4 linked regions of the Pelodiscus sinensis genome follow. The protein of the gene in region 4 purifies or fractionates together with the protein of the main gene of each other region. This does not show direct contact. Links are inferred from orthologs where the notes say so. Each region holds a gene or a part of one and is shown on either strand. Other genes may lie near its edges. The genes, in order: SUGT1, WDR48, NHERF2 and PHLPP1.

Region 1 (7,795 bases), on a different chromosome or scaffold from region 4:
AAGGTTTGGCTATCCCATGTAATTGAGGAACAAGAGAGTGAAGGAGGACAACAAAGTATTAGAAATTTCAGGCCACAAGAGGACCCAATTGCGCGTGTTTTTCCTTTAATTATAAAAGCAGAAATCTCATCAATAGCAAGTGGATCAAGAGTCCTTTGGCAGAATTTAAACCAGCCAGTACCATGCATAAAATACGCTAGCTCTTTGCTGGTTATTTTGTCACTTCTGCTATGGACTCCCAGTATTTAAAAAAAAAAATTTGTTCTTGTTTTTTTAACTACCTATAGTACCTCAACATGGAACAGTATTCAGAGGACATGAACACAGAGTAGAACATGTGGCAATGAACTCTTATATTTCAACAAAGAGAGCCAGGAGAAAGGAGGACAGACCAAACACATTACAGAAATAAATAAGAATTTGACCTGGTTACATGAATGCCATCCTGAGACTAAAGTAGCAGCCTTGAAAGCATTTATAACTGTAAGAGGTATTCTCCCACCCTTCCCGGATAAAATGCCTAGGAATGAATACACACACTGAAAAACCTCCAGCATCTACAAGATGTAACAGTCTGATTGCTTAGCTATATGTTTCTGTAGCTATATATTTCTGAACCAATCACCCTGGTCCTTCGTGCCCCATACTCAAAAGACAGTCAATAGAAACTACAATTCAGTGTGCCTGTACTGACACTCAAAGCCCTCTAGCAACTTGCGAAATTGCCTCTTTCTACATCTACTTGACTTCCCATTTAAGGATGTTAAATTCAGATTAATCAACTAATAGAATAATCAACGTAACTTGCAACGATTATTCGATAACGGTGCTTCTACCTTTGAAACGTAGAATTGAGATGTCAAAAGCAAAAGTGCTTTGGAGAACCTGGAGCGAGCTGAGGACTCAAACAGTCCCCACTGGCCACTGATCCCCGCTCCCAGCCACACTTTGCTTTTGAAACCTTTCAAAAGTGGAAGTGCTGCCAGTTCCCCACTGCACTCCTGTCCCTTCTCCCTACAGATACAGCGCTGAGGTGAACCAGCTTTTAAGAAAATTCCTTCCAGCAATGGATCCTGCTTCCCCCCCCCCCCCCCCCCCTGCCTCTCTCTGATAGAGGGAGCAAGCGGGAGGGGACAGGGGACAACTGCTTACATCCCTACTTCCCATAGCAGGTACAGTCGACTCTTAAGAGTGTGTCTACACTGCAGGGCTTAATTGAAATAAGGTACGCAAATTGAGATGTCAATTGCATATTTTATGTCGAAATAGCTTATTCCAAAATAGGGAGCACCTACACAGCACTTATTCTGAAATAGAGCACTATTCTGCCGACTTCCCTTACTCCTTGTACAATGAGGGTTACAGGAGATAGAGTAAGAAGGCTTCCAGCTTGACAGTACTTTGACACTATTTCAAAATAACTGCCTGTTGTGAAGATGTGGGCTAAGTTATTTTGGAATAGCACTAGTTATTTCAAAATAATGTTGCAGTGTAGATGTACCCTAATTCTGAAAGTGTAGATCAGAAGTAGGAGACTTACAAGCACTGCAGATCTTCCACACAAAGAAAAAAAGTCATGGACTACAGAAAATCTACAAGAGTGACAAGATTTTCAAAACTAAATTCAAAATATACTCCTTTGACATGGCTCTCTCCTCAATATGTTCCTCACAAGTGACAAAATTATCTGCATAAATATAACAAAATTAACTAATTATACCATTTCTCTAAGAGGCTCAGGACAGAGACAGTTATTTGCTTTCAAATGCTTTTGAGTAGTTATTCAGTTAATATAGACTCCTTTGCTATACAAGTATCTAAATTAAAAGAGGCAGCCTTGTGACAACCAAGGAAATACATGATTAGCATCTGGAGTAAAAATATTCATCTTACTGTGTAGACACATGAACAACATTACTAGTTACAAATTTGGACCTAGATCTTTGCACATCTTACATTTATATAGTAATGTGAGTAATCCCACTCCAAAGGAACTGTGTAATTTATGCACATGTTAAAGTGTAAGCAGACATGGAGCTTTGGATAATAGATGCCAGATGCTCCTTTCACTCTAATATATGCTTATAACTAAAATATATACAGAAGATGTATAAAACTTTTATTGCCAGTGGTAACTAGGCATAACTGTTTCGAAACAGTGCGCTTCCAAAACCTGAAATCTATTCCTTTACTGCCTAATACGCATCTATCCTCTCGTCAGAAAATCATTTCTTCCAAAATAACCTAATGCAAATATCTCCTTTCAAATAAGTGGTGATGGTGTAGACTAAAAGTAACTAAAAACTATTATAGTCATGCATAAAACGTATAAAACTCCATCGCTCTGTCACGCTGCATCCTTTGCTGCCAACCACACCTCATCTGTACGCCATTTAAACTGCAGTCTACTGAGACTTGGGATCTGGTTTTATCATTGCTTATAATACACTTAGCACACATAGTTGGCACCTTATAAAAATGCTAGTGCTGAAAATAGCTTTTGGGGCACTCTCCCATAACAAACAACCCTCTGAAGAAACACTGTGGTCTAGCAATAGAGGGAAAACGAGGTCACGAAATTTAGATTCTTATTCCAGCCCCAACACTAACTCGGCGAGGCTGCTGGAGAGTCGTTTGGGCACTGCCTGCCTCAGTTTCCCAAACTCTATGACATGTCTACGTTGCAGGCACTCTGGGGCTGGGTGCGTTAGCTCCCAAAGTGGGCGGAGGGTTTCTCACGGGAGCTGTAACAGAGACGCGAACTTGAATCTGCACCGGCATTAGTGTCATTTAAGCAGAAAAAGTCCAGGGAACGGAACTACTGAACTGCGCCCAGCGCGCCGCACCTCGGAGCCACATGGCCGAGCGCCCGGCCGGGGCTGCGGCTCGGGTCCAACCTGCGCTTCCACCCGCTGAGACACGGGCAGACCCAGAGGGGCCGAACACGCTGCCCCGCCCCGCGAGTCCCTCTCACTCACCCGCCCGCCCTCCCGCCTGGCCTCTCACCTGCGCCGCCGCCCCCGGGTCCTGCTCGATGTCTTCGTCCGGGAACCTGGCGAGGGAACAACACAGCAGCGCGGTTAGAGGCGGCTGCGGCCAAGGCCGCGAAACGTGGCGGGGGAGAAAGACTCACCGCGGACGGGCCGGGTCCAAGGCCGCCGCCATCCTGCCGCCGCCGCCGCCGCCGCCTCCACCAGCGGCCTTCGCGATCTGAGCAACAACAAACCCGCCCAAGGGGGAACCAGCGGCGCGCGTTCACGCAGGGGCTGATGGGACTCAAGGTTGGGGTGACGTCACGCCCGTTCCTCCAGTAACTGCCGCGGAGGGGGGGGCACGTGACGAAGCCGACGCGCTCGGCACCCGCCCGCCGCCTTACGTTGGTAGCCAGCACGCGGGGGAGAACGCCCTGTTGGTAAAACACCTCCCCCGCGCGGGAGGCGGCACATCCCGCTCCTGCCCCTCCCCGCCGTGGCTGGCATGGCAACGGAACGGGCCTCCGCGGGGCCTACCCAGGCCTTTCCCGCCGCTCTCGAAAAGCGGGCCAGGACCAATGTTCCTTCTCGTCTTTTCCATCCGTGGGCGCCCTGCGATTGGTTCCATGCGCCACCCGTGGAAACTCAACAGCCTGTTCCCTCTCTCCCTGAGCGGCCTCTGGTCACACACCCCTCACTGGGGAGGGGCACCAGGGCTGACCTAGACCTGCTGGGACCAAGCCCCTTGCTGGGGAGGATGAAGCCTGCCGGTGCAGAGGGGCTTAGACTTTGGCTTTTTCTCTGCCACCCAGGGCAGCAGAGCTTGGCCCAGACTCAGGCTTCAGTTGCCCCCTCTTGGTGTCGGGTAATAAGAGTTGTCCGATGAGCGCTGTGGGGTCATGAAGTTTGAGACGCCGTGGCTTAGCCCAATAGGAGGACTGCCCCCGGCCCGGGCTGGGTTCCTCCACTGAAGCAGGGCCGCCTGAGCTTTCTCTTCCTGAGTCAGCGGGTGCACAGCCCTTGCTTGCTCTTGCCTGATAGTTTAGCAAGCAGCAGCTGTAGAAGTATTTGCTAACTAACCTGCACCACTTGGGCAGCAGCATGCCGGCTTTCCCAGATGAGTGGCTGTAGCTTTTCATACACCCCAGTTCATACTCTTGTCGTTCAGAGGAGCAGTAATTCAGACTCAGGTACTCATTCCACCAAACCGGTTTGAGTCTTCCCTCGGGCAGCAACAGGAGAAAGGCCAGACTGCTGAATAGAAGTACTCATAACTCGGAGATGCTTTGGACAAAATACCTCATATAACCTGGTAATGTTATGATCAGCTGGATCTGTACATCTTATTTTGGGGCAACTATCATTCTCAGGGCTCTACAACTACGCTTATCTACTCACCCCTGGTGAGTAGATTTCAGCCAGTCACCCCATTTGCAGGCGGTCCACGCATGCACAGCGCGAGTCTCGCACATGCACAGTGCGGGGCTGGCGAGTGGTTTTCGCTGGGATCATGGAGCCCTGATCATTCGTATATGTGAAGTTAGAAATAGGAACTATGAGACTTTATCATTTTAAATTGGCCAGTGAGAGTTCCCCCCAAGCCTTAATGATATGATGATCAATTTAATTACTTATAAATAACCTTGTTTGTAAGTTTAAGCAGTGGTTGGTCCTAGGAACAGATGTGACCATACCACCTGGTACTGGGATTCTATTTTGATCCTGGTATTTTTCCATGGGGGGCCAGAACAACAGGTTCCCTCCTTTGGGAAAAGTCTATTTAAGCAATGAGAACTGGAAGCCCTTTATCTTCAGCTGGCCTGGAAAACCCTAAAAAGATACAAAAGGTTGGAGACCCAAGTCAGGGTAAAAGAGTCTCTGACCTGACGATTATGCCTGAAATAAGAACAGCTCTTTAGGGTAAGAATCTGCAGTAAGTTTTTTAGTGAATTAGAATTAGCTATGCAGTTCCTTTTAATTTAGTAACTTAATTTGAGCTGTCTGTTTTCATTTATAACCACTTAAATCCTACTGTTTGTACTTGATGAAAACATTTTACTATCAGGCCTAGAGTAAAGAATCGTTACCTGGAGGGAATGACCAGTGTGCATCTCTCATTGAAAGGGAAGCTGACTATCCTCATGAGCTTTCCTAGTGTAAAACTTTACACAGAGAAAGACAGATTTATTTGGAGTTTTGATCTATTTGGGGTTTGGGTGCTGTGCCCTAGAATTAAATCTCCCAGAGTTAAAGTGGTTCAGTCTCTGCATTCTTTCCAGGAGGGTGGTAACCAAATTCTGTGCCTTGTTTGAGGGAGACCAGAGGATCCAGCACAGCAGGATAGAGTGGTGGGGAGCCCCAAAGAGCAAGAAGGTAATAGTCAGTGGCGTTATCAGCAAACTGGGAAACAGTCCCTAGGGATCTTCTGTGACCACACCCCATCACAATATGGCACTGATATTTGCCAAGTTTTTTCTCAGATTTGTCTGGAGTTAACCAAGGTTGGTACTCATCTAGGGATTGGCTGTTGTCATTGTCCTGCCTGTCATGTTTTCCTGGGGGGTGAAGCCAGGACTTGCCACAGTTGACCTTTCTGCCATGTGGACTAAGGGGAGTATGAGCTATGAGGATGATCAGCTACCCTGAATCTCTGCCTGAGCCCAAAAGCCTGGCAAAGAATCCTAGTTATCTCATATACTAAGTATGGTCCTTGACCTGAGTCAGTGACTGCACAGAGAACTGGGGAAAAGGTCTTGTTTAAGAGGACCAGGATCTGTGAAATTTGTAGGATAGGCCTCAATCCATTTGGAGAATATACTGATCACTGCTAGACAATACCGATTCTCACAGCCAGTGTGAGGGAGAGTTCCAATAAAGTCTGTTTGCATCTAGTACCATAGGTCTTCAGCTTACAATGGGCCTTTTAAATTGTGGCTATCTGTGATTGTTTTCAGCAGAACTGAAGCAGCAGTGGATGTCCATAGCCACATCTTTATTCTAAGTTTGGCCACCAGGCAACATGGACAGTCCTATTCTCTGTCTTGTCTGTGCTAAAGTGACCCTGTTGCTGGACAAGGATTACCATCTCCTTATGGAGGTACAATGGAAGCACCAAGACCAGGAGGGCCCCTTCAAAATTCTTCTATAAGGCTAGGATCAGACATTTATCCTTGAATGTCTCATAGCCCTTGCATTCTTCCTTCTTCAGAAGGCCTTGCACATCTGGGTACCACTGTTGCAACTTCCTGATGTCTACCTAGGCACATAGCTCAATGTCTGGCTTCTGGTTCTTCATCATAGGCAAGGAAGGTGTTAAGGTATACAGATGTTCTTCTCCCAGGAGTGCTGCTGCTTTTGCCTGGTGGTTCAATTTGGAGACCTCAGTGGAATCTTTATGGTGATCTTTTACATAGCATAGGTCTTCCTTGCATTCAAAGCCAGTTACCATGCATGTTTCAGGAATGCTGCATACCTGATAGGCATTCCACTGGTGGACTGCAGACTCCACTGCATCCAGATGAGCATCCATTTTGAGCAGATAGATAGGTGTTTTTTCTCCATCCTCATCATGTAATACTGTTACTCAGCATGCAGCTCATGGCCCCTTTGCATGCAGACTGCGGTGCCTTGAACCACTTCCCGGGCTGCCTGCCTCATTGCTACCGGCTGGCAGAGGGGGTAGGGGAGCTGCAAGAGGCGGCAGGTGCCAGGCAAGCAGATGCTGCTGCACTGCGCAGTGGTGCATGCTGTAATTGGCTGTGGCGGGTTCGTGCGCTCCCCCTCCCCCAGGTACATGCCACGTGAGGTCGCACTGGCTCAGAGTTCCTGCTTGCTCAGTACCGGAGGCGGCCGGTGCCCGGCGGGGAGCGGCCTCCATACCACGCGTCAGACGTGGGCGGGGATGGGGCTTGGGCCTTCTGGCGAGGCTCAGGGGAGGGACTGGGACTGTTCTTGGGGGCAATGGGCCTGGAGGAGGAGCTGGAACTGTTGGGGGGGGAACGCAGCAAGTCCCGGGGGAGGGACTAGGACTGTGTTTGGGGGGGGCGGTGGGTTGTGAGGGAGGCATTCAAGGAACTACAGTAGTGCAATGTTCATTGCTGTGTACATTTATGATGTAATCCAAATGAAATGAACCTTTATGGTCATTCATTGAACAGGTAAAAACAATTACAATTCCGTTTTTTTAAAAAGCTAATCAAAATTTTCAAGAATATTTTAAATGTGTTTTTTGACCAATTCTAGACATTCATCTTGGAGAAAAAACTAAAAATGAATCATTGGTATTTCTCAAGAACCAAAAGTTTATATCTTAAATATGAAGATATGCAATTTAAACTTTAAGAACTTTTCTCATATGCCCAATATTTTGTTTGTTTAGTTTGGTAATAAGCAAAGACATGTGCAATCAAAAATATACTAATGCCCCAATGTCATATCTGCAAATGTAACAGAATACAAAGAACTGATATAAATGCAATGATACACAAATTGTTTAAATCTACCAAAAATGCTCCTCAAAAGCTTGATGTTCCTGATTCAACAGAAATACAGATTTTTAGATAATTCAATAATCCTTCAGATGACTGAAACAAAAAGTACAATATGAAGTGGAAGGGTCAACAAATGAATTTCAAAACGCTATCAGAAACATCCATTTGACACATGGTGGACAGTTTTAGCAGTGGACTGAGTAATTCTTCCCAGGAACTTCCAGTGTAGCAATGAGCAACCTAGGCTAGTGAGTGATCTGCAGGAGTAGGCCTTCATCTCAGTGGGCCGCAAGATTGTTGTAACCAAGACAGTCTTCCAGGATAGGGTAGTTT
Region 2 (7,155 bases), about 130 Mb from region 4:
TTCCTCAGCTCTGTTCTTATGAAATGTTATCACTTCATGATTTCATTATGAGTCTCACAATTTCTGTTGTTTTTCTGAAAGCTTCAGCTCTTAGAATCATGAAAAAAAAAATCACACTTTAAAACTTTAAGTTTCTTATTATTAAAAAAGTTTAGCAAATTCTCTCTTTCTCTCACTAGTATTCAGAGAGAAAGCATTCTTTTTTCATCTCTGATCTTGGTTTTTTGGACCTCAGTCATGGTTTCTGAACCCTTTAAGTCAGTGATCTCCAACCTTTTTACACACAAGATCACTTTTTAAATGTCAGGGCAAGCCAAGATCTACACCATCCATTCCTCAAGACCCTACCCTTTCCTTGAGGCCCCACCCTCTCCATCACTTGCTGTCCCCAGTCCTTACTCACTCCCACTGGGTTGAGACAGGAGGTGCAGGCTCTGGGGTAGGAATGAGGGATTAGTGTGTGGGAAGGGGTGAGAGGTGTAAGCTCTGGGAGGGAATTTGGATGCAGGAGGAGTGGAGACTAAGATGCTAGATCGGGGACAGGGCTCCAGACTGGAGACTGTTGGAGTCAGGTGAAGAGTTGGGGTGCTGAGTAAACTGCAGACTTGTGGATATCAGGGTGCAGAAGTTCGGGTTGGGGTTTATGAGGGGCTCAAGGCAGGAGGGTTGCGTGTATGATAGGCTCAGAATTGCAGTGTGTGGATGGTGCAGGACTGTTGTGGCACAAGACTGGGGATGTGGGGGGCTCAGGGCACGGGGTTCAGGTGTATGACCGGCTCCCCTGTGGGCGGGTGCAGGGGTGTTATGATACTGAGGCCAGATGAGGATTTGACCCCAACTGGGAGCTTGCTGGCCAGGCTTCATTTTTAAATAAACTATTATGGCCAACACAAAACATTTCAACATTATCTTTTTTTATGGGAGGGGCAGGGAACATGTTTTGGGTCAGGGGGCCACTGATCCTCAGAAAAATCAGTTGGGGACCACAGAAGTGAGATGCAAAAAAACAACACCTCCAAAAAGCCACAACCCTCACTGATGTGGCCCCAACTAAGATACCTCAGTCTCCTGACACTCCAGCCCCATGGTGGTAATAGCGGTGGGGGGGGGGGGGGGGGAGGACTGAGGTTCAAGGTCCCAGGACAGATTAATTCTTCTGGGGGTCCAGGGTTAGTGAATTTTGTGGGGTCCCCCAAGGCTCTGAGATCGGGCCAAAAATGAGGGATCCAGTGTGTGGGACAGAGCTGCCAGTGAGTGGGGTAGGGATGAGGGTACAGAATCTGGGTGGAAAGTAGGGTACTTGAGCAAGCTGATAGTAGGTGTCTGGCCAGGAAGGAGGAGCTGGAACAGGGTGCTGGCACTACAGGCTGGGGCAGGATGCTGGTGGGTGTCTGGCCAAGGGAGAGGGGTCAAGGGCAGCTTGGCTGGACCTGGGGGTCTCCAGGGATGAGCATCTCTCAGGTAGGATCTGTAGGTAGTGCTAGAAGAAGTGCACGTGCGGCTCCTTTAAAAAAATCCAGCCGCTCTGGGTCCTCCACTGCCATCTTAAACTTCCCCCATGCCTGACTCTGCCTCCCTGGTACACGGGGGAAGGAAGGCAAGACAAGAAAGCACATGCACTGCTGTGGAGTGGGGAGGAGCAGTGTACTTGAGCTTCCTGAGAAGCCGGATCTGGTGCAGAGCTGCGGGAATTCTCTCCTCCTTCCCTTCCACCACAGGAAGCCAACTTTGGCTCCAATTTTGGGAGGGGCAGGAGGCTGTAGCGCCAGCACAAGTGCCTTGTTGTGGGTTGGGGGAAATAAGGGGGCTAGGAACACTGCATTGAAATCAACTGGCAGGGCCTCTGCAATTGACCACTTGATCATGATCAACTAGTTGGTTACCACTGCTTTAAGTTGTCTATGTTAATTATACCCTGAGCTGAAAAAAACCTCCACTTTCAGGGGATGAGAGTAGTCTGTCTGCAGTGGAGGACCCAGTAAACCTATGGTGTCCAACCAGTTCTAAAGCAGTAGCCACTACAGTAAACTAACCACACTCAACTGGCATCCTCTTATCAGTTAAACAGTTAGCCGGGTAAACTGCAACATCTCTAATTTGAACTGACCACCAATGATAGGTTGCTATTTACATCAAGAATCCCCTATACCACCCTGTCTGTACTGACATTTATAATTAAAATGAAATTAAGAACGTTTACACTAGACCAAAGCAAAATGAAGGAACATAATATCCACTGTGCTTCATTTTTACTTTCACTGTTGAGAAAGGTTTGTTTTGCATAGATTTCATCAAAAGGATCCATCCCCAGGAAGATCATCAAAACATTTATCTCTTTCACGCGCACATCAATTCCTCCTCCTCCTCCAAGCAGGATCCTGTATGCCCCAAACATACCAGGCTGAAAAATAGTGTAGACACAATGGGATAACTGAAGCATGTTCTCACTTTAAAAACAGTTCAGGAATTAAAGCTGAGCAAGTACTACGGCCGATTCCATACGAAGAGTCTGACACAGTTAAGGCAGATCCTTATGTCCCTAAGGAAGCACCCACGCTGCCAGAGCCTCAAGGGCCAGTGCTTAGGCACAGGTGGAGCGCAAGGGCAGATTCCGCTGACAAGTACATGGGACGTGTTTTAGTCCCATTTTGCTTCATTATTTTATGTCTAATACTGACAGGCGCCGAGACTCCCAGCGGCCGTGGGCGAGGCTGGGGAGGGTCTCCCCTGGGCTCTCTCCCTGCTCTCAGCACCAGAGAAGTAGCCTGTTCCTCCCCAGGTCCAGCAGCAGCTGCCCCAGGCGACACCCAGGGAAAGAAGTGAGCCCTCGCGACCGACACTAGCCCGGCTCCTCCCCCCGCCCCAGTTCCCTACACCGCCTCCCGCGCTCGCAGTCCCGCTCCTTCACCTGCGGCGCCCCGCCCCCAGCCCAACCGCCCTTCCCAGGTGCTCGCCCGCTCTCGGCCCGCGCCCCCTCTTCCGCGAGCCCCTCAGCCGCGCCACAACCCCGCGCCGGCGGGCAGCCCAGCAGACCTCTCACCTGCACTTTCCGGCGCCCGGCCGCATTCTGTCGGTGATGCGCCGCCATCTTGCATGTTGACACGCCAACGTCATTTCCGAAGAGGGCAAAGCGACCCGGAAGTCCCGCCCCGCCGAACGTTGGACCCGCGCTAGGGCGCTGGGCTGTGGAGGGAGCTCGCGGGAAGCGGGGCAGGGAGTTGGGCCAGACGTCAACCGCCCGACTCCCGCGCGCTCCTCAGGGGGGAGTCTCGCGGACGGGAGAGCGTTAGGCTGCCCCGCCCGACGGAGGGCTCGGATACTCGCCCCTTCAACGTTCCCTGAGGCCTCGTGCCCTTCCCCGCGTGGGCTTGGTGCCTGCATCCCTCTGCCTGCCACGCCCGCTTGCCCCTTCCTCTGTGCCCTCAGGCCCTGCGCCTTCCTGGGACTCGGCCCATCATGGCCGTGCTGCCCCCTCACTGTGCCCTTCACCCCCACCTCCCTTGGTGGTGCCGTGTGGCTGCTTTGTGCCTCCCGTCTCACTACCCTGAGGCCACGTGCCTGCCTCCAGACCTGAGGCTGCCTCCCCTCCCTGTCCCTGACCGTCTTCTCGCAGTGCCCTTTGGCCAAGTTCCCTGCCCCCAGATCCTCAAGGCCACCGTCTCCTCTCCCTGTCTGCTGTCTCTGACAGAAGCAGGGAGCCCACACGAATCCTGTGAGCCTTGCAAATACAGGATGAAAAACTCTCCTGTAATTTGCAAGCCTGCAGGAAGGAACCATACGAATGGGATTTTTGAGGCCCGATACTTGAAGTAGTGAAAAACAATAGAAGGTTGTTGCTGGTGTGTACAAAGCCGCAGGAGATGGCGGGACCATTGTTTCTGGGTTTGGGAGCACTGAGTGGTTCGATCGTGTCATAATGCAGGTTTGGCAGAATTTTCAAATATGAAAGGTGACATTTTTGTATCCGTTTTTCCAAGCTCTCTCTGGCACAGGGATACCAGAATGAGAGAATCACTACAGAGAAGTACGCTAGAAGCTTGCATTGCTGGATTACTAATGGTCGTGGGAAATACTTTTGAAACTGGAAAATCCACAGCAGGTGTCATTTTCATGTGAGTTTGTAGAGGCTTTAACAGGCCTCTCCTGCCCTAGCTCACAACCCTGCACCCACTTATGTACCCCAATTCCCTGCCCTAGGTCACAATCCAACCCCCTGTACCTCAGTCCAGTGCCCCCAGTTACAACTGTCTCCTTCACCCAAACTCCCTTCCTTACCCAAGGTCCCTTTTGCACCTAACCTCCATCCCAGACCATGCACCTCCTCCATTAATATCATGGAAGAATACGTCCCTTGACCACTTTCCAAATTCTTGGAGTGGCCCCATGAAAAATTATTGCCCACCTCTGACTTACGGTATGTCTACACTACAGGGTAAAGCTGGATTAAGATATTCAACTTAAGTTACATTAATTACGTAATTGAAGTTGAAGTACCTTAACTTTTGGCTCTGTCCACACTGCTCTCTTTTACTTCCTGCACTCTCCCTTCAACTTCCCTTACTCCTTGAGGAAGCAAAACTACCAGCATCGACCAGAGCACCTCTTTCAGTTGGAATTAGCATATCTTCACTAGATCCACTAATTCGAACCCTAGAGGATAGACAGCAGCAGCTGTCATACCCTAAGGGTTCGTCTACACTGGCCCTTTTTCCGAAAGGGGCATGCTAATTTCACAGGTCGTAATAGGGAAATGCGCGGGGGATTTAAATATCCCCCGCGGCATTTAAATAAAAATGTCCGCCGCTTTTTTCCGGCTTTTAGAAAAGCCGGAAAAGAGCGTCTACACTGGCCCCGATCCTCCGGAAAAAAGCCCTTTTCCGGAGGATCTCTTATTCCTACTTCGAAGTATAAGAATAAGAGATCCTCCGGAAAAGGGCTTTTTTCCGGAGGATCGGGGCCAGTGTAGACGCTCTTTTCCGGCTTTTCTAAAAGCCGGAAAAAAGCGGCGGACATTTTTATTTAAATGCCGCGGGGGATATTTAAATCCCCCGCGCATTTCCCTATTACGACCTGTGAAATTAGCATGCCCCTTTCGGAAAAGGGGCCAGTGTAGACGTAGCCTTAGAGTGCACTTAATTTTGGAGTATGCCCCATTGAACTCACTGACATTTCTGATTTTTAAGAAAGCAAGTATTAGATGGGGTTCCCTTGGGAAAGCTTAGTTTTGCTGAAGTAAAATAGAAAATAGACTTACAACATCGCCATTATGGTCTGTGGCCGTAATGTTCCAAATTATGGGGAATGTGTTAGGTAATATAAAATAAGAAAATTGCGCTCAGTTTCTACTGACAACTCTAGATTTCTTTTGCTGCATTTTTCTGTACTGCCTACTTGAGGGATACATTTTTCACTACATGGTTAACTAATTAAACAAGCCATAAAGATTAGCTAAGCTAAACTTTTTTTGTAGCAATGTCCAACATAGCAAACAGCTTGGGAATTACTTGTTAAATCACACACTGGCATAGCAGGAGTATTGAAGAGTGATGTGTTGCAAAGTGAGTTATTTAAATTATTAACCAGTTGATCAACATTGTTCTTCATCCACATTATTTTCTCCCAGTTAGTAGTTTTCCGCATGATGTTTCATTCTTGTAAGGGGGCCCTGCATCTCCTTGCACTGCTGACATTTGACACATTTTTTCTTTTTTGTTCAGAGAAGGAATAACTTCAAAATATTCCCAGACAGGGTTTCTCTTATGCCATGACAGTTTTTCTTTTTTACATTCCTAATGCATAGCACAAACTGTAATAACTAACACTTATATGCATCTTTCATAACATAATATAAAAAAAAGATGTAGAAATTGATGTATTCTAGAGCCACAGACTCTGCCATATTGCAGACATGTATTTCTGAACTAGATGTTGGTTTCTGTTTTTCTATCAGTTATATGTAGTTGCATCTGGTTATCAAAGTGCCAAGTTCCTTGCCTTAAGCAATTCCTCTATCTTTGTCAGCCCTGAGCTATATGTTACCATGAATTACATTTCCCCACATTAGCCTTGAGGATATCTCTGTAGTGATTTTTCTGACCTCCTCTAGCATGTTTGCCGTGGCTGAGTTGAAAATAGAAAACTTCTTCAGGAATCCAAACACAATGACTTGCCAGTGAAGTTGATGATAGATAATTATTGCCTTGATACTTGTGATATCTGCTTGTGGGAGGATATTAATGTTAATACATCTAACAGCCCATTTAATTTGAATAATCATTTGCATACAGTGTGATGATACTTCTCTAAAGCCTTAAGATGTTCCCTATGTTGTCCATGTTTCAGCCCTTTACAACATGATGGGGATTACAACAGCTTTGTAAATCATAAGTCTGGTTTTAATTCTGATGTTGCAACCTTCGACCACTCTTATTCTCAGATGACCAGATGCTCAACTAGCACATTTGAGCTGATCCTGGATTTCTTTTTCAATGTCAGCTGCCTGTGAGAGTGGCTTCCAAGAATGGGAATACGCAATGGTCTCTAGAAGGTTATCATGTATTTCTGGTGCTGGCAGTTGTGCAGTAGAAGCTTGCTGATAGAGGACCTTTTTCTACTGTATGCTGAGAGTCTGATATGCATCAGCAAAGCCAAATGAGCCCACTCTATAATATTGTCAGCATATTGAAGCTCAGCCACTAAGGTTGGTGATGTTTTGGTTCTGGATTGGAAGCAGTCCAGGTTGAACAGCTTACCATCTTGCCAGTTATCAAATAGAGCATCACAGTGAGGAAGGTGGAGAAGAGCGTCAGGGCAGTGAAACAACCCCTGTTAAATGCCTGTCTTTGCCATAAAAAGATCTGTTGCTTCCATGTCATTGTGAAAGAGATGAAGAATGGTGACAAATTTTGGTGGACATCCATAGGTCAGAAGGATTTTTCCACAGTGCTTCTCTGTTGGAGTCAAAAGCTTTTGTCAGGCCAGTGAATGCAAGATGCATCTATGTTTTTCTCTACATTTTTCCTGCATCTGGCAAGCAGTAAAGATCGTGTCGGTAGTGCCTCTAGATGTTTTAAGCCATGGATGGGCAATAATTTTCTTAGGGTAGCCACTTCATGAATTTTGGTACACAGGCCAGCTATTGGTTTGCTAGAAGGG
Region 3 (8,014 bases), on a different chromosome or scaffold from region 4:
AACATCCTTGGGCAGGGAGTTCCACAGGTTGACTGTGTGTTATGCTCAGACCCCTAGAATCCTAAGAATGGAAGGGACCTCAAGTGGACATCTAGTCCAGTCCCCTGCACTCAAGGCTGGAGTGTTATCTAGACAGGTTTCTGTCTAACGCTCTTAAAAATCTCCAGTGATGGAGATTCCACGGCCTCCCTGAGCAATTTATTCCAGTGCTTCACCACCCTGACACTCAGGAAGCTTTTAGTGTCCAACCTAAATCTTCCTTGCTGCAATTTAAGCCCACTGCTTCTTGCCCTGTCCTCAGAAGCTACTTTCTGCTGGAACGTGTGCCCTGACAACGCAATGGCTGACTACGTAACAGCAACGTCCTGCCAATGTCATCGCATCCTTTGGTCTTTCCTACCTGGCCAATGCAGACAAGGCCAACCACTGTCATTGTTGAAAGTTATCTGGTGCCGCAGCATGGTAAGACAACATCCCTGCATGGGGAAGGCCTGGAATAGTGCGGGAACCTATTTATAGTGCGGGAACCTGTAGTATCTACCGCTGCTTCCTTGCCAAAGGGAAGCTTTTAAACAAACATTCACAGAGAGGATCACCCTGCTAGCTCTCTTTCACCTTTCGTACGCTCTCGCCACCAACACCACCAGAGGAGCCGGGAATCCTGGCAGCAGGGCAAATGAAGGCTGTTTCGGGCATACGTAAATAGTTCTGCTCGGCTACAGCCAACAAGCTGAAAAAGCACTCCATGTGCGGACACAAGAAGCGACTCAGCAGGCTTAGCGTGCTGGTTCCTGCCCCAACAAGGATCTTATTCCCCATAAACTGCTTGTCTCCCAGCGGATTACCCTGCTGGCCTGGAGGTTCAGGAACCATCACCCAAAAAGAGACGCACACTTTCCATCACGCTGGTTTCACTTGGACACGCGCCTGGAGAATCCAGCAGAGAAGCAGCTCAGGGGAAGCGACTCAGTCGGATTGTGAGTGCACGCAGCTTTGGCGACCAAACTGAACGCGGACAGATCCCCGGAAGGAAAATAGCACACGGTGGCCCAATGGGGAGCGGCTGGCGGGGGGGCTCTACAGAACGTGGGGTTTTATGGATGAACAAAAAGGGCTTCTTGCCAGCCTGGACACAGCAATAGGAAATACACTGTAGAGAGCATCCTGCCCTGGCCAGGCTGGGCTTGATGCGACTTGCTAGGACTTTCCTGACTCTCACCTCTCGGAATATAAAACCAAAGAAGTGGGCACAAGCACAGCAGGGAGCATGTGAAGCCCAGGAATTAGAGGAAACAAGTGAATGACCCAAGCCGAGGGCACCTCTTTCCACTGGCAGGAGACACGGACACAGCAGATGACAAGGTTTTCCATGTCACTCTGGTTTCCCTGCTCTCAACCTCCAGATGAAACCCGCTAGCCAACAACCGGACTGCCCACCCCAGGATGGACTGTCACCTGGCGGGACTTCTTCTAGCTCTAGAGTCAGACTGTAGGGATGTTAAATGCCGGTTAATTTAACAGTCAATTCAACTCATGAATTCTTATCGGTTACTCCGTTATTCTATAGTCCTTGGGGATGGGGCTGGCAGCCAGCACGCTCCAGCCCCACTCCCAAGGAGCCCCCCCGTCACATGCCAGACAGGGGCTTGTCCGTGAGGGGAGCCAGTTTATGAGGCTGGTCCACGAGGGGAGCACCCTGTCCAGAGGGAGGGCTGAGCTCCCAGACCCGGCACGAGCTGGAACTGAGCCGGGCTGCCTGTCCACCTGGCTCCTACTACACTTTAAATGCAGAGCTGCAGCGGGGGTAGGTCCCGGACCTGGCATGAGCCAGGCTGCTGGCCAGCCTGCTAAAAACTGTACTGGTGGGGGTGGAGGGGAGAATGCGGGTAGTCGATAGCATTGACCTAGAAGCTTTTGCTTATTGGTTAATCAGTTAATCGACTGCACTATTACATCCTTATCAGACTGACCTTCCATCCAGACAGCCCCCTTCTCCAGCGCTCAACTGGGCACAGATAGACAGACTAAGGACACCTTCTGTCCCAGCACAGACAGACGGACGACGGTTCCAGGGTGCCACCTCTCCACTAGCATGGGCTGACTGTTCCTGGGCGCCCGCTGCCCCAGTGCCCACAGACAGACAGACATTCCCCGGGCAACTCCCCAGTGCAGACAGACAGCCCCCGGGCCCCCCAGCTCCAACACAGGCAGACAGACAAACCGGCCCCTGGCACCCTACTCCCCAGCGCTCATGGACGGACAGACAGACATTCCCGGGCGCACACACCTCCACCCCAGTACAGACAGACAAACCGTCCCCCGGCGCCTTATGCCCCATCGCCCACGTACAGACAGACAGACGGTCCCCAGCACACCCCCTCCTGCCCCAGTACAGACTGACCGACCCTCCCCGGGCCCCCCCGCCCGGCCCCCCCGGCAGCCCTGCCCACCTGGTGGTGCGTCTCCTTCTCCACGTTGACCCCGTTCACCTCCACCACCCGGTCCCCAGCGCGCAGCGCCGCCGCCTCGGCCGGGGAGCCGGGCTCCACTTTGCGGATGAACTGGCCGCTCTTGCCCTTCTCGCCGTGCAGGTGGAAGCCGTAGCCGCTCTCCCCCTTGAGCATGTGGCACAGCCGGGGCTTCAGCTGGTCCTTGGCCATGGCTGGGGCCCTGCCGGGGCGAGCGCCCCTCGGGGAACCTGGGTGCCCGGCGCGCAGCGGCCGGAGGCGCCGGGCAGCGGGGTCCCGGCTGGATCAACAAGTGGCGGCAGCTGCCGGGCGCGCCCCCTGCCTGCGCTTCTCCCGGGGCGCCTGGAGAGCCGGGCCCCTTACGCGCAGCGCAGCGTAGAGACAGGAGCCGGGCTGCTGCTGCTGCCGCCGCCAAGCGGGGCCATCCTGCGTCCTGTGCGCCCTGCGCTGCGCCAAACTCCCCCCGTGCGCTCTGCGCCGCGGCGCACCCCCTCGCTGCAGCCCCGCCGCTGCCTGCCTGCCTGCTCCGGCCCGTGCCCGCCGCCGCTACTGGGGCTGCAGCGCCTCCTCCGCGCGGCTCTCCGTGACATTGCAGCCGGGGGAAGAGCTTGGAGGCCAGCTGTGGCCATTGCCCCTCCCCCGAATGCAACCCGGAACCTTCCAGAGCTGGCTGCTGCGGGAATGGGTGTGTGTCTCCTGATTATACACTCGCCCCCGAACAACATAACCCAGCCACAGCCCAGCACATGCAGCTGGCATTGGTGCTATTCCCCCTTCCTTCCCCCCCACACACACACGCATTGTGTAGGACATCTAGGAAGGTCTCACCCCAGGGCGTGTAACATGGAGGCAAGATATGGCCAGGGCCCGGCTGGTCACTGCGTCTTTGAAAGCCACTTTGTGGGGGATGGTTCCTTGCAGCCCTTTGCCAGGCATAGATGTGCCATCCAGAACCGGTTAAACCAGTCCAAGCGGGACGCCCAAATGCACGCCCAGGGAGGAAATCGAACATACGGGCAAGCACAGCGCAGTGAGTTCCCAGTGCAAAGAATGGGAGCACAAGTCCTCACACTGGTGGTAAATAAGAAAATAAAATAATGGGTTTGTAGGGTGATTCCCCATGGACGTTAGTGGGGGTGGTTGAATCAGGCCTTAAAAAAATCCTTTTGGCCAGATACTAAGAGGATCTCTTGGCCCCGGCTCATTTATTTGTCTTGTCACTGAGGTAGGACAGCTGACCTTATAGCACGCTGACGTCCTCTAAACATCTATTAATTTGAGGGCAGTTACCGCCCAATCACCTTGGAGGAACATAAGAACGGCCGTACTGGGTCAGACCAAAGGTCCATCTAGCGCAGTAGCCTGTCTGCTGACAGTGGCCAGCACCAGGTGCCCCAGAGAGGGTGGACCAAAGACAATGATCAGCGATTTGTCTTCTGCCATCCCTCTCCAGCCTCTGACAAACAGAGGCCAAGGACACCATTTTATCCCCTGGCTAATAGCCTTTTATGGACCTAACCTCCATGAATTTATCCAGCTTCTCTTTAAACTCTATTATAGTCCTAGCCTTCACCGCCTTCTCTGGCAAGGAGTTCCACAGGTTGACTACATGCTGTGTGAAGAACTTTCTTTTTATTACTTTTAAACCTGCTCCCCATTAACTTCATTTGGTGTCCTCTAGTTCTTCTATTTAGGGAACTAATAAATAACTTTTCTTTATCGGCCCTCTCCACACCACCCAGGAAGAGGCCTGGGATATCACACTGATGGGGTGTAGCAGGGGAAAGGTAGAGCGATGCCTAGAGGGGGGGAAGTTTCTCTCTAGGAATACATTACATTAGTATTCTGGCTCAAGGCTGCCAATGCAGATCCCTTATCTCACTTCAGATCTTGTGGTAACTTTCCAAGGAAATAATGTGGCAACGAATCGCATTCTGCTCAGCCCTGCGGTAGGTGCGTAATGGCCTGAGGTCAGGGGTGGGCAAGACAGCCTCTGCGGGCCAGATCCAGCCAGCCTCCATGGGCCAGATCCAGCCCGCCAAGCTGGTTGATCCGGTCGGCAGCCGCCCTGCCGCTCCCAGGCCAATGGAAACCCGGGGACAGGGGAGTACGTGAAATCTCCTTCCCCCGCCAGACGCACACAGCCCCAGAGGGAACCACTAGCTGGCCAAAACAGTTCCCTCTAGGCACCGTGTGCCCCTGGCAGGGTGGGGGCAGGAGGCGAGAGACTTCCCATGCTCCCATGCACCTAAGCCCTGATTGGCCTGGGGGCGAGGGAGCATGCAAAGTCTCCCTCCACCCACAGCACCTAGTGTGAACGACCAGCTGTTCAGCTGGCAGTTTTCTCTAGGCACCGAGTGGAAAGGGGGGGGATGACTTCCCAGGCCAATCAAGGTCTGTGGGCAGGGGAACCTGGGAAGTCTGGCCCCGCCCCTTCCACCTGAGGCCCCGCCCCTTCCAGGATGACCCACAACCACTTCAGAAATTTGTGAAGTGCCCCCCCCCTTCAAAAATTATTACCCGCCGCTGCCTTTGGCGAGGTTACCTGTTGCCAGCCGAAAGGAAACAAGGGCAGCTGGTTTCAGTTCCCAAGCCCAGGGATCAGCCCGTCATTGGTCTTTGTGGGAGAATTTTAAGCTGTGAAATGCATCAGACCTCTGGCAGTATGCCAGCTTGCCATCAGACCTGGCTGCTCTGTAATTAGCAGCAGCTATGCAAAACAACAGGTCTCTGCCTGCTTGCACAAAGCCATCGGGTGATGTGGAAGGAGGCCAGAGAGAGTCATAAGAACGGCCACCCTGGGTCTGTCCAAAGGTCCATCCAGCCCAGGCTCCTGATTTCCAGCAGTGGCCAAGGCCAGGTGTCCCAGAGGGAATGAACAGAACAGGGAATCATCACGTGATCCCTCCCCTATCGCCTATTCTCAGCTTCTGACAAAGAGACTTGGGACACCATTCCTGCCCATCCTGGCTAATAGCCATTGACGGACCTAACCTCCATGAACGTATCTAGCTCTATTTTGAACCCTCTTGTAGTCTTGGCCTTCACAACATCCTGTGGCAAGGAGTTCCACCGGTTGACTGTGCCTTGTGTGAAGAAATACTTTCTTTTCTTTGTTTTGCTGCCTATTAATTTTATTTGGTGAATCCTAGTTCCTGTGTAACAAGAAGGAGTGAATACACTTCCTTAGTTACTTTCTCCACACCAGTCACAATTTTATAGACCTCAGTCATATCCCCCTTAGATAGCTCTTTTCCAAGCTGAAAAGTCCCAATCTTATTAATCTCTCCTCAGACGGAAGCCGTTCCATACGCCCCAATCATTTTTGTTGCCCTTTTCTGAAGCTTCTCCAATTCCAATATATCTTTCTTTGAGATGAGGCAACCACATCTGTGTGGGGTATTCAAAATGTGGGGGCTCCTCCATTTGCTGTGTCACATGAGGGCTTCCCTGAGCCTCCCTCGGGCTTGATGATGTGTTGTCATCCAACAACCTGGCTAATACCAGAGCCACAGATTTTGAAACACACCTGCCAGTATGTAATCTTAACCCAGGTCGGGACGTCTCCTAGGAGTACACGTGCAGGAACCTGCCCTGTTTCTAGGCCGCTCCCCTTCCTTGTTTCTACATCAGGGATGACCTTGCCCAAAACACGAGGTACCTTCTTGCAGATCTCGCTTTACTGTTGGCTGCTGGTCCAGGCTGGGTGCAGGTAGCACAGGGAGGAAGAATTTCTTGTGAATTGAGGACTTGGGTCAGGCCCCAATTCAGGAAACTACTTGTTCATGTGCCTAACTCGATCCATATCTGCATGGCTCCACTGACTTCATTCGCTTAAGTTAAGCATCTGCCTAAATAACTTGCTAGATTAGGGCTGACCATTCCTTCCTCCTTTGCATTTAGGAATGGCCCAAGTGCTCACCTGTTCCCTGGCTGCCCCTTTTCTTCTGCCCTGGTAAACTCTCACCTGCAGGGGAGGATTCTACAGCCCACGAGGATTGTTGGGAACACAGGTTTGGTACAGCCTGCGCTGTGATGGGCGGGAAAGGTTCCCATCTTTCTCGAGGAGCTGGAAAAAAGCCTGAAAACATTCCTGCATCCATGACCATCTTAACACCGCATGGAAAGAATTACCTCCCCTCGCAAGCAGCTCTTGCAAAGTGCTTAGCGGTAATACAGGTTGAACCTCTCTAGTCCGGCACCCGGAGGACCTGACCGGTGCCAAACCAGAGAATTTGCTGGACTATGGGAGGTCAGTATTGTCTAGCAGCATTACCTACACTTCCCCTGCTTACTAGGGATGTGAAAGTGTAATCACATGCATCTGGCTCCTAGGAAGCTGCCTCCCCCCTCCGCCCACTGCATCTGTATCAGAGGCAGCAGCATGGCAGGACAGGTGGGAGCTAGTATGCCTGGAGAGCTGGCTTAAAAGTTAGCTCCCCACACACACCGGCTCCCGGGAAGCTGACCGCCACCCTGCATGTAACTGCTGGAATTTTCTGTGGTATCACGATGACTTATACACATTTTGACATCCCTTCTGCTTGCTGGGCTCTTAGAAGACATTTTGGGCTCAATTAGAACTAAAGACCAGCACAGGACACTGAGAGCCAGGATTGGTGGCAGGAAACAAACTTTATGGGACTGTGGGAAACTTGGCCACATCCACAGTAAGTGGACATCCGGCTCACTAAAACCATGCCGGACCACGGAGGTTGCTGAACCAAAGAGGTTCAACCTAAAGCTGGGTTTCAAACACGTTTTACATCCTCCCCCCCCCACACACACACCTACCCTCCGCATCTCCATAAAAAAACAAACCACACCCACCCACTGCAATTGCTACCTTTACTGAATTGAATATAACGGCACCACAATGAATGGGCCAGAGCCCAGCTGGAGTTCTGCATTTTAATTTCTAGGGGCTCGGATATGGATAAATATTTAAGTTCTGCATGAGGTGGGGAAGTTCACGGTAGATGTATGCTATTTGGCTCAGCAGAATTTGGAACCTGTTTTATTTGACATCTGCTTCAAAGCAAACAGGTTTATTTATAATTCATGTATCGCAATTCATTAGGCACTTACTTTTACCCATGTGCTAAACTCAGTTTGCACTGCGGTTTAGAATATTGCATAATGAATGCATCAGACATCCAGGATAAAAAGCCTGACACTTTCCAATATCAGAACTCTTGGACAGGCTTTCTACACGATATACAGCTTAGCCCATCGTAAGCGACTACTCCAGGGATCAGCAAAAATCAGTGTGTTCAGTGGTTCCTGAAAAAGGCAGCATAGGAATATATCTCTGAGAGGAGCTAAGGATGGTCTCTTAAGACAGAAGCTTGCTTGAAAAATGTTGACAGTGCAGTGACTGTCTGTTGCCTTCTTTTGATACTCGCTTTGGCAGAAATAAAAGTTCACATAACTCCCTCGCATCCCTGTCCTCCCAAAGAGGTGGAATCAAGAGGACTCAGATGTAGCTCTTCCTAGATTTGCTGTTGTCTTGGGCAAATCACGGAACCTTTCCAAAACTCATCGGT
Region 4 (7,479 bases):
CTGTATGCAGCCCTGCCCTCAGCCTCACATTTTAAGAAACAGTTGAAAGCCAAATATTTAAACAATTTCCCTCCCCACCTTTGCCCTAACAGTTGTCAAAGACAGAAGAAAATATATTGGAAAGTCTAACAACTTTAAATGTAGATGCTTAAGTTTTCCTCACTTAAGAGGAGGAAAACTCTTCAACATTGCAGTACTATGTTCATGACCCAAAACATCAGGAGCACTGAATACAATAAAATATTGTGCGTTTTGGATAACAAGAGCTTTTGGTAAAGCTGACTGAGGGTTTTCATAAATCTAGCCACATAAATGATAACAGAGTATCAATCATGGTTATTAGGTGGGGATTTCACCAGCACTGCTCATAAGTCTGTCTAGATGCCTCAGGAGATCTGTAACCTTGGCCCCATGCAGGCAAGTCACCCTTCGGTTCTTGAGGTCATCACAAACTCAGCTCAATGTCTCTAAAGAACGAACCCCCTCATTACTATTATCCATATCTTCCTAATAAGTGGCATTCTCTCTCCCAAAAGGATATCCTCCGTACAATCCTGGGCATAGAATTTGGCAAAGCAAATAAGCGGGAGGAAAGATAATGATCCTAAGATTTTTAGGCCAGAGAGACATGGAGTCTTTTGTACGGCATCGGGCACTTTGGATGCCCTATATAAATACAAGTAAAAAAGACAGGCCTCCCCAACATATCACTGGTGCAATTGTAAGGAATAGTTCACCACTGGTTGATGTGCACCGTTTTAAAAGGAACTCTCCTGGGGATATCTGTTATCCCCTTAGACATTTAACCTCCAAACACACACACAAGTCAGCATCTGTATTTCTAGCCGGCAGAGCTGGCCCTGCACCCAGGTAGCCCTGTTTCACACACACTCCTTGGCTCACCTGCATAGAAGCGAATAAGACAGCCGGTCTCGGAGTCCATGCCCTCCTCCTGCACTCTCCACAGGTCCCGGAAGCCCAGCTGGGAGAGGTAATCGTTCTGGATCTGCAGGGGTTTCTCCTGTGCCTCCAGGCGGCGGCTGGTTTCCCCGTGGAACTGCACGTACAAGGCCGGGGGCAGAGAAGACGAGGCGCCAGCCTCTCCTCCCAAGTGAAACACCTTGGAGCCGGCGGGGGTTGCAGCAGCCATCCCTGCCCCGGGGGGCTCTTCCCCCGCACGCCCTGCCCGCGAAGGGGGATGCACGGAGGGGAATTCGCCCGGCCGATAATGGCTCCTGCCCGGCGCTACACCTGCCTCTTCCCCAGCTGGCGCAGCAGAATCCGCCTCCAGCTCCTCGGAGGACGATGAGCCACCGCTGCTGTAGGGGTCCAGGCGATCGGAGACGCTCTCGGCGCTGGGGCTGAGGCTGAAGCTCTCGGTGTCGGAGCCGGCCAGTCCCAGCTCGCCCAGGAGGGAGGGGCAGGATAGCGGCGGCCCAGCCAGGTACAGCTCGGCGGGCGGCGGCGCCCTGGGACTGAAGTCGGAGGACGAGGGACTCGGCCGAGGATCTGTCCAGCTGTTCTCCCCGGCGCTGCCGCTCAGTGCCAGCCGGCTGGGTCGGGTTATCTCCCCGTTGTCCCCCGGCGATTGCCGGCCCAGCCCGTGACGGGTTCCCCGGCGGCTTCTCGGCCTCTCATCTTGCTCTGGCCGCTGCTGCCTTGAAGGCGGGAGGCCGGGAGGCGTCAGGCTGTCCTGGTCTACTGCAGCCACGGTGCCGGAGTAGGTCTCCCCCGGGAACGCTGCTGCTCCCTCCTGGGGCTGCACGCTCGCCTTACCCAACACCCGGACCACACCGGTGCCACCCCTATGGCCAAGCTGCAGCAGCCGGGCCGCCACCTCGGCCGCCGTGGTCTCCAGTGTGCAGAGCACCGGGCGAAGGTAGGACATGTGGCGCTCGTAGACATGGACGCAGCCCCGTTGCAGGTCCCGCCGCACCCAGTCCCGCTCCGGGGGCTGCAGTGGCTGCAACTGCCGGGGCGGCTTCAGCAGCAGCGCTTTCCTATCCAGGCTGCGGGTGCCCAGCGAGGCAGGAGCCGCCGGAGAGGAGGAGGAGGCGGCGACGGCGGCGGCTGCAGAGAGATTCCTCTTCAGCCTCCCCCTTCGCAGCAGCAGGGAGTTAGCGCTGCTGCCCCGGCTAGGAGCAGCCCGAGTCCCGTTGCCCACCAGCGCAGAATGGGGAGCGAAGCCCCCTCCGGCCCCCCGCCTCCTCCCCGGCCCCCCGGCTACTTTGCCTTCTAGATGCCCGGCCTCGGCGCCGCCCGATTGCTCCACGCTGGTCTCGGTGCCCGGCGTTACCCGGCTCCTCTCGCCCGGGGAGGTGCTCTGTTGCTCCCCGCTGCTGCTCCGCGCCGCCACCGGGGCTTCTCTCGCTCGCTGCTGCGCGGGCTCCATTGCCCGGGGGTTGGGGATGCCGCCTCCTCCCCGGGGCAGCGCCGCTAGCGCGAGGGGGGCGGGGAACAGAACGGAGCAAGGCGCCGCGTTCCAGAGGCGGATTATGTAGCAATCGGGAGCATTCCGTCGGTCGGTGCCGCCGCGTTCCGTGCCGCGCGTTTGGCTCAGCCGCGCTCCACAGCTGTCGCGAGCGCCATTAGGGACAGAGAGAGGAGCCGCCTTCCCCCCTCCCCTACCCTCCTCGGAGCCTCATGAATATTAAGTAACCCCGACCTTCTATTTACAATAGCATCCAGGGAGGAGCGGAGGGGGTGGGCTCATGCATACTCGACCCAGGTTGACGCCATCCCTGGCGCGCTGGGGCGGGGCTCCGATGACAAAATTCAAGGTGACGGCAGGGGGCGAGCGAGGCACTCTGGGAAATGGAGTCCGCGGCCAGCTCCCATCGGCCATACACCCACACACGGACTACAAATCCCAGCAGCCCTCTGCTCCTTTCTTCCTCCGACGGGAGGTTCCCGCCTTCTTGTCCCCCGCCGCGCGCCCGGTCCGCCCGCCCCTGCTCCTGGGACTGCCCCAAGGCAGGGCCGGGGTCCCTGTCTCAGATGCCGCGACTGCAGCGTGCCCGGAGCTCGGGCCCCGCCTGCCCTCCCGCGGCGCCCGGCCCAGCCCCAGCCCGGGCGGGTCCCCTGCAGCTGGCAGCCGCCCGGACCCAGTCACCCTCGCGTCCTCCCAGCGGATTTCAGTCCAGCCTGAAGTTCGCCACAATTTTTGATTAGAGCAGCGGCCCACGGCCTGCTCAGCGTCATGGGCCTGGCTGCCTTCCTTTCCAGTCGGCAAAATCACTGTAACGTCTCTTCCTCCAGATGCACTGCGCGCAGATCAGCGTAGTCTCAGATACTGCCCTGAACTTTAAAAACGCAAATAAAGACGAGACTAGCTAGAACTCCCCAGGGAACACCAGCAGTCACTTGCCATTCACCACCGCCGCTTCACCTTGCATCGTTACTTTTAAAATCTAGGGAGGACTTTTCCTTTTACCCCATGATTGTGTTTTATCTGGAGCTTTCTAACCCGGCTGTTCTGGGGAACCTGTGAGACCCAAGGCACTGATAATGAAATCTATGTGCACAGGCCTGCCACTGTAGAGGGTACAGAGGCTGGGGCAGTTGGAGCTCCAGGCAGTGTAATCTGGAAGGGGCTGAAGGGGGATCCTTTTTCAGGAGATGCGGAGGACTGGCTGCCCCAGCTCCACCCTTTCCAGCCAAGCCCCCACCACTTCTCAGACTGAGGAGTTGGCACTCTCCTACCTTGCCTAGTTGAACAGCTCCCTTGTATATGCACCTCCTTCTATTAGTTTTAAATGGGGTTGCTGACTTTTCTACTCACACAAAACCAAACACTCTTGCCTGGCTCCTGCCCTGAGGCCACACCCTGCCCACTTATTCTATCCCCCATCTGTCACTCTCCCCACCCTGTCTCATTTACAGCCGCTCCCCCAGTTGCAAACGGTCGAGTTACGACGGTTCGCACTTACGACCAAAGCGCCCATGGAGCGGTCGTAAAGGCGTCCCTGAGTTACGAACACAACCCACGCTTACAAACAGCGCTGTCGCGTGTAACTCAATGGGGTCCGAGTTACAAATGGATCGAGTTACGGCCAAGTGTTTGGTCCGTAACTCATTCATAACTCAGGGAGAGGCTGTACACCATGCTGGTGTAACCCACACACGGGGGCTATATCTACACTGTAGGCTTTAAATCCCGGGCTTCATGTGCAAGTTCGAATGCCTACATTAGCCACCCTAGTTCTAACTAGGGTGGCAGTGTAGACATACCCTTAGAAAGTAATCACCAGCTAATAGCTTCTTCAGGACCCATGTGAAACAATCTTACAATTCGATTTAGCATATCTCCATAAATTTAAAAAATCTGAAATGGCAATCCTGTTTACTGTTTCAGTGAAGAGGCCAACAAATTATTAAGAGTCTGAGATACCATCTTCTTCAGAACCAGAATGGAGAAACAGGCATACATTGTGAACAAATCTTGTACAGCTGATCTATTTGGTACACACAAAAGCAGTTGTTGGTCTGGAAACCATTGCAAGCACTGAAAGCGAAAATATTTTGTTTTAAAAAATGCTCAATAGCAAGAATGATGCTGCAAAATTGTCCAAAAAGGTCATTCAAAATAAAATAATGGATTAAAATTGTAAATATCTGGTAAATATATACAACTATGTGAAACCATGCATTTTAATATTGTAGGGTCACAATCCCATATTTATTTAGGCAAAACTGCTCCTGCAGTCAGGGGGGAGTTTTAGCTGAGTAGCATGCCCAGGACCAGCTTCTAATTGCTTGAAATCTGTCCCATTTGGTACATTTTGTAAAGCTGCAGTAAAATGTTTTGCCAAATATTTGTAAAAAATGTTACAGGCTGCACTAAACTAATTGCTTTTGGCAATTAACCAAGTAGCTAACATTTAGGGAGAAAAACAAATCTTCACCACTAAGAACTCTACGATGATATCAATAAAGCAACACTGACTATGAGGCCTATTCTAAAACTTGTGATTTTTTAAAAACTTATTCATAATGTAAAAAGAAACAATGAAGTTCATCACTCACAACAATGGCAGGCTATGTCAATTTGTACATTATTATACTCATCTTTATCCTGGAAAGTGTGCTGCTGTTTTCACAGAAAGCACTCAAGATATTCTTTAAAGAACTTATGATGTAAATATATCTTAATTATTGTATGTGTCTGAAGGATGCTCATACATTTATTTTGACCGGAAGACTGTTGTCTTTTAGAACAGAGTGATCTGTAAATGAACTGCTGTGTTCTGAATCTGCCGTAATCTTGGGTATGTCCTTATGTCTAATTGCTAGCAAAAAGCATCTTTGGAATTCTTTCTAAGCTAGATAGCTAGAATCACATCCAGAACATAAACTAACAGCAGTTGAATGCTGTACACCGCCATTAAAGGCTCAGATTTATGTCCAAAAACTACACTTTGAAAGGGGCAATATGCAGCATAAATGAAGCTAATTCTCCACTTCCTTGCACATTTTTCTTTTGTCAGTTTTGCTGATTTTACACAATTGTGATGCCTCTTAACTAGAGTTACTCCTCATCTGATTTAAGCCAATTAAAGTGAGAGGAGAATCAGGCTTTATTCTTACTATACACAAGATCTAAAATAGTATAAAAATAAATAACAGTTATGGATTCAAATTAGAATATATTTCCTTAATCATCTCTTTTCTCCAAGTTTTTAGGCCCAATAATCTTTGCAGATGGTCTCAGAGGGGTAGCCGTGTTAGTCTGTAACTCTGTACCTAATCTAGATCCCTTGCTCCATTCATCTGAAGAAGTGGGTTATGCCCATGAAAGCCCATGACATTATTTACATTTTTGGTTAGTCTCTGAGGTGCTGCAGGACCATTAAATATTTTTTTTAATTTTTTGCAGATGGTAATAGCATTCTGACTTTTTTGATAGGTGAGGATAAAAGTTTGAGTCCCTGCCTTGCAAAGACAGCACAGCCCCAGTAAAAACTGTCCAATCGGAAGTGCAGCAGGTGTGTGTGGGGGGGGGGGGAGGTGGGATAGCTTGGGGTATAAGGGCAGGGGCACCAACAGCTCTTGTGGGCCCCTGGGCAAGGTGTGGGCAGCGCCAGCTCCGTGCTCCTGGAAGGGGTGGGGCCTTAGGCCAGGGAGGCAGTGCCAGGATCAGCCAGTCCCTGTGCCCCTCCTCCAATCCTCAGAGCTGAGCAGAGCACTGCTCCAGTGGCCAATTAAAAGGCCCAAGACTCTAGCTGCTGCCACTGCCACAGTAGCAGCAGCCAGGAGCCCCAGGCCTCTTTCAATCACCAGGCCCCAAGTCATCTGCCCCTTTTAATCCCCCTCTCCCCCCATGGGCAGGCCTGTATATGGGGTATTTGTCTGGGGAGCCAGAGGAAAAGAGAGAAAGACATAGGAAGCAGGGCAGGATGATCCTGTCTTGATGCAAGCAAGAGGGAAACAAAGTTCCAAAGAGACTGTTGTCACTTAGTATTAAGGCTTTTTAAAAGGAAAGGAATCTTCCAGAAAATCCTTTGCAGACTCAGTTTAAGCTTGTAAATATTTATCTAAAGGGGGAACCACCAGTTTTCTCAAAGAGAACAAATATTAGAATACCCGGAAGTTCAAAATTAAGTATACACTAGAATCCATAACATCCAGCATTAGACAATCCAGTATTAGGTAGTGTGCATATGCATGCCTACCGTCATCCAAACATCCTCAGTTCAGATTCTCAGCTGGTGTGAAATGGCATAGTTCCATTAGCATCTGTGAAGCAATGCTAATTCACATTAGCTGTGAATTCAGCTCATAACTCTGCTCACAGAAATACTCAAATCCATAAATAAAACAAGTCTGTTAACTGAGTAGTGATTGAATATGATACGTTCCCCTTGTTCATAGGCTGACTTTACTTTATTGTGGTACTTAAAATGAGGTGCACCATGCACCCATCTGTCTCACAGCAGCAAACTACCAGGGTCTAGTGGATTAAAGTTAAAGTTGTTTAGGTTACCACTCATAAAATTCACTCAGTTGCAAAAGACAAACACAAGTTCCCTAGCACTATGTGATCTCTGAGGGCAAAGAAGAATCATGCCTGTGGGCTTTCACATTTTTTGAATTTTGATGAGAAAGTGACTGTTCTGACCCTTCATCCCCACACTTCACTTGTATAAAGTCTGATTACTTTGAATTGAGGTGAGGAAGTGAATTTCACCAATTGGGTTTTCCCCATATTTTTTTTTTACTGTAATTTAACTTTGAACATTCAGACTCATGTTTGCACCTTTAGCAAACCATACTGTTCTTCTTAGGGTTTATTTCCCAGTAACTGAGAGAGATTTACAATATTAACTCTCCTCTTAACTGTTTTTAATTGGAATTAGAAATTTAGATCAGGATTAACTGTTGCTATACTGCAATACATTCAAGATTAATCTTTAAAGCTCAGGGCAGGTGAATTCATGTTTTCTTTGGTTTTCTATATTTTGATTGTTATTTAAAAGTAAA

What was found.
Region 1: the proteins of PHLPP1 (region 4) and SUGT1 purify together in Homo sapiens (affinity purification with mass spectrometry; 5 studies listed by BioGRID and IntAct, with this or other methods). This does not show direct contact. The link is inferred for Pelodiscus sinensis from reciprocal best matches to the Homo sapiens genes PHLPP1 and SUGT1.
Region 2: the proteins of PHLPP1 (region 4) and WDR48 purify together in Homo sapiens (affinity purification with mass spectrometry; 5 studies listed by BioGRID and IntAct, with this or other methods). This does not show direct contact. The link is inferred for Pelodiscus sinensis from reciprocal best matches to the Homo sapiens genes PHLPP1 and WDR48.
Region 3: the proteins of PHLPP1 (region 4) and NHERF2 purify together in Homo sapiens (affinity purification with mass spectrometry; 3 studies listed by BioGRID and IntAct, with this or other methods). This does not show direct contact. The link is inferred for Pelodiscus sinensis from reciprocal best matches to the Homo sapiens genes PHLPP1 and NHERF2.

The regions. Positions count from the first base shown.
Region 1 is NC_134711.1:283,823,402-283,831,196, forward strand, and holds the start of SUGT1 (protein SGT1 homolog), read right to left. Parts: upstream 3,252-7,795; 5' UTR 3,166-3,251; coding exon 3,134-3,165; intron 3,053-3,133; coding exon 3,007-3,052; intron 1-3,006. UniProt on the Homo sapiens protein: May play a role in ubiquitination and subsequent proteasomal degradation of target proteins.
Region 2 is NC_134712.1:246,546,471-246,553,625, reverse strand, and holds the start of WDR48 (WD repeat-containing protein 48), read right to left. Parts: upstream 3,191-7,155; 5' UTR 3,089-3,190; coding exon 3,041-3,088; intron 1-3,040. UniProt on the Homo sapiens protein: Regulator of deubiquitinating complexes, which acts as a strong activator of USP1, USP12 and USP46. Enhances the USP1-mediated deubiquitination of FANCD2; USP1 being almost inactive by itself.
Region 3 is NC_134726.1:37,832,093-37,840,106, reverse strand, and holds the start of NHERF2 (Na(+)/H(+) exchange regulatory cofactor NHE-RF2), read right to left. Parts: upstream 3,059-8,014; 5' UTR 2,661-3,058; coding exon 2,451-2,660; intron 1-2,450.
Region 4 is NC_134712.1:118,352,699-118,360,177, forward strand, and holds the start of PHLPP1 (PH domain leucine-rich repeat-containing protein phosphatase 1), read right to left. Parts: upstream 3,082-7,479; 5' UTR 2,393-3,081; coding exon 904-2,392; intron 1-903. UniProt on the Homo sapiens protein: Protein phosphatase involved in regulation of Akt and PKC signaling.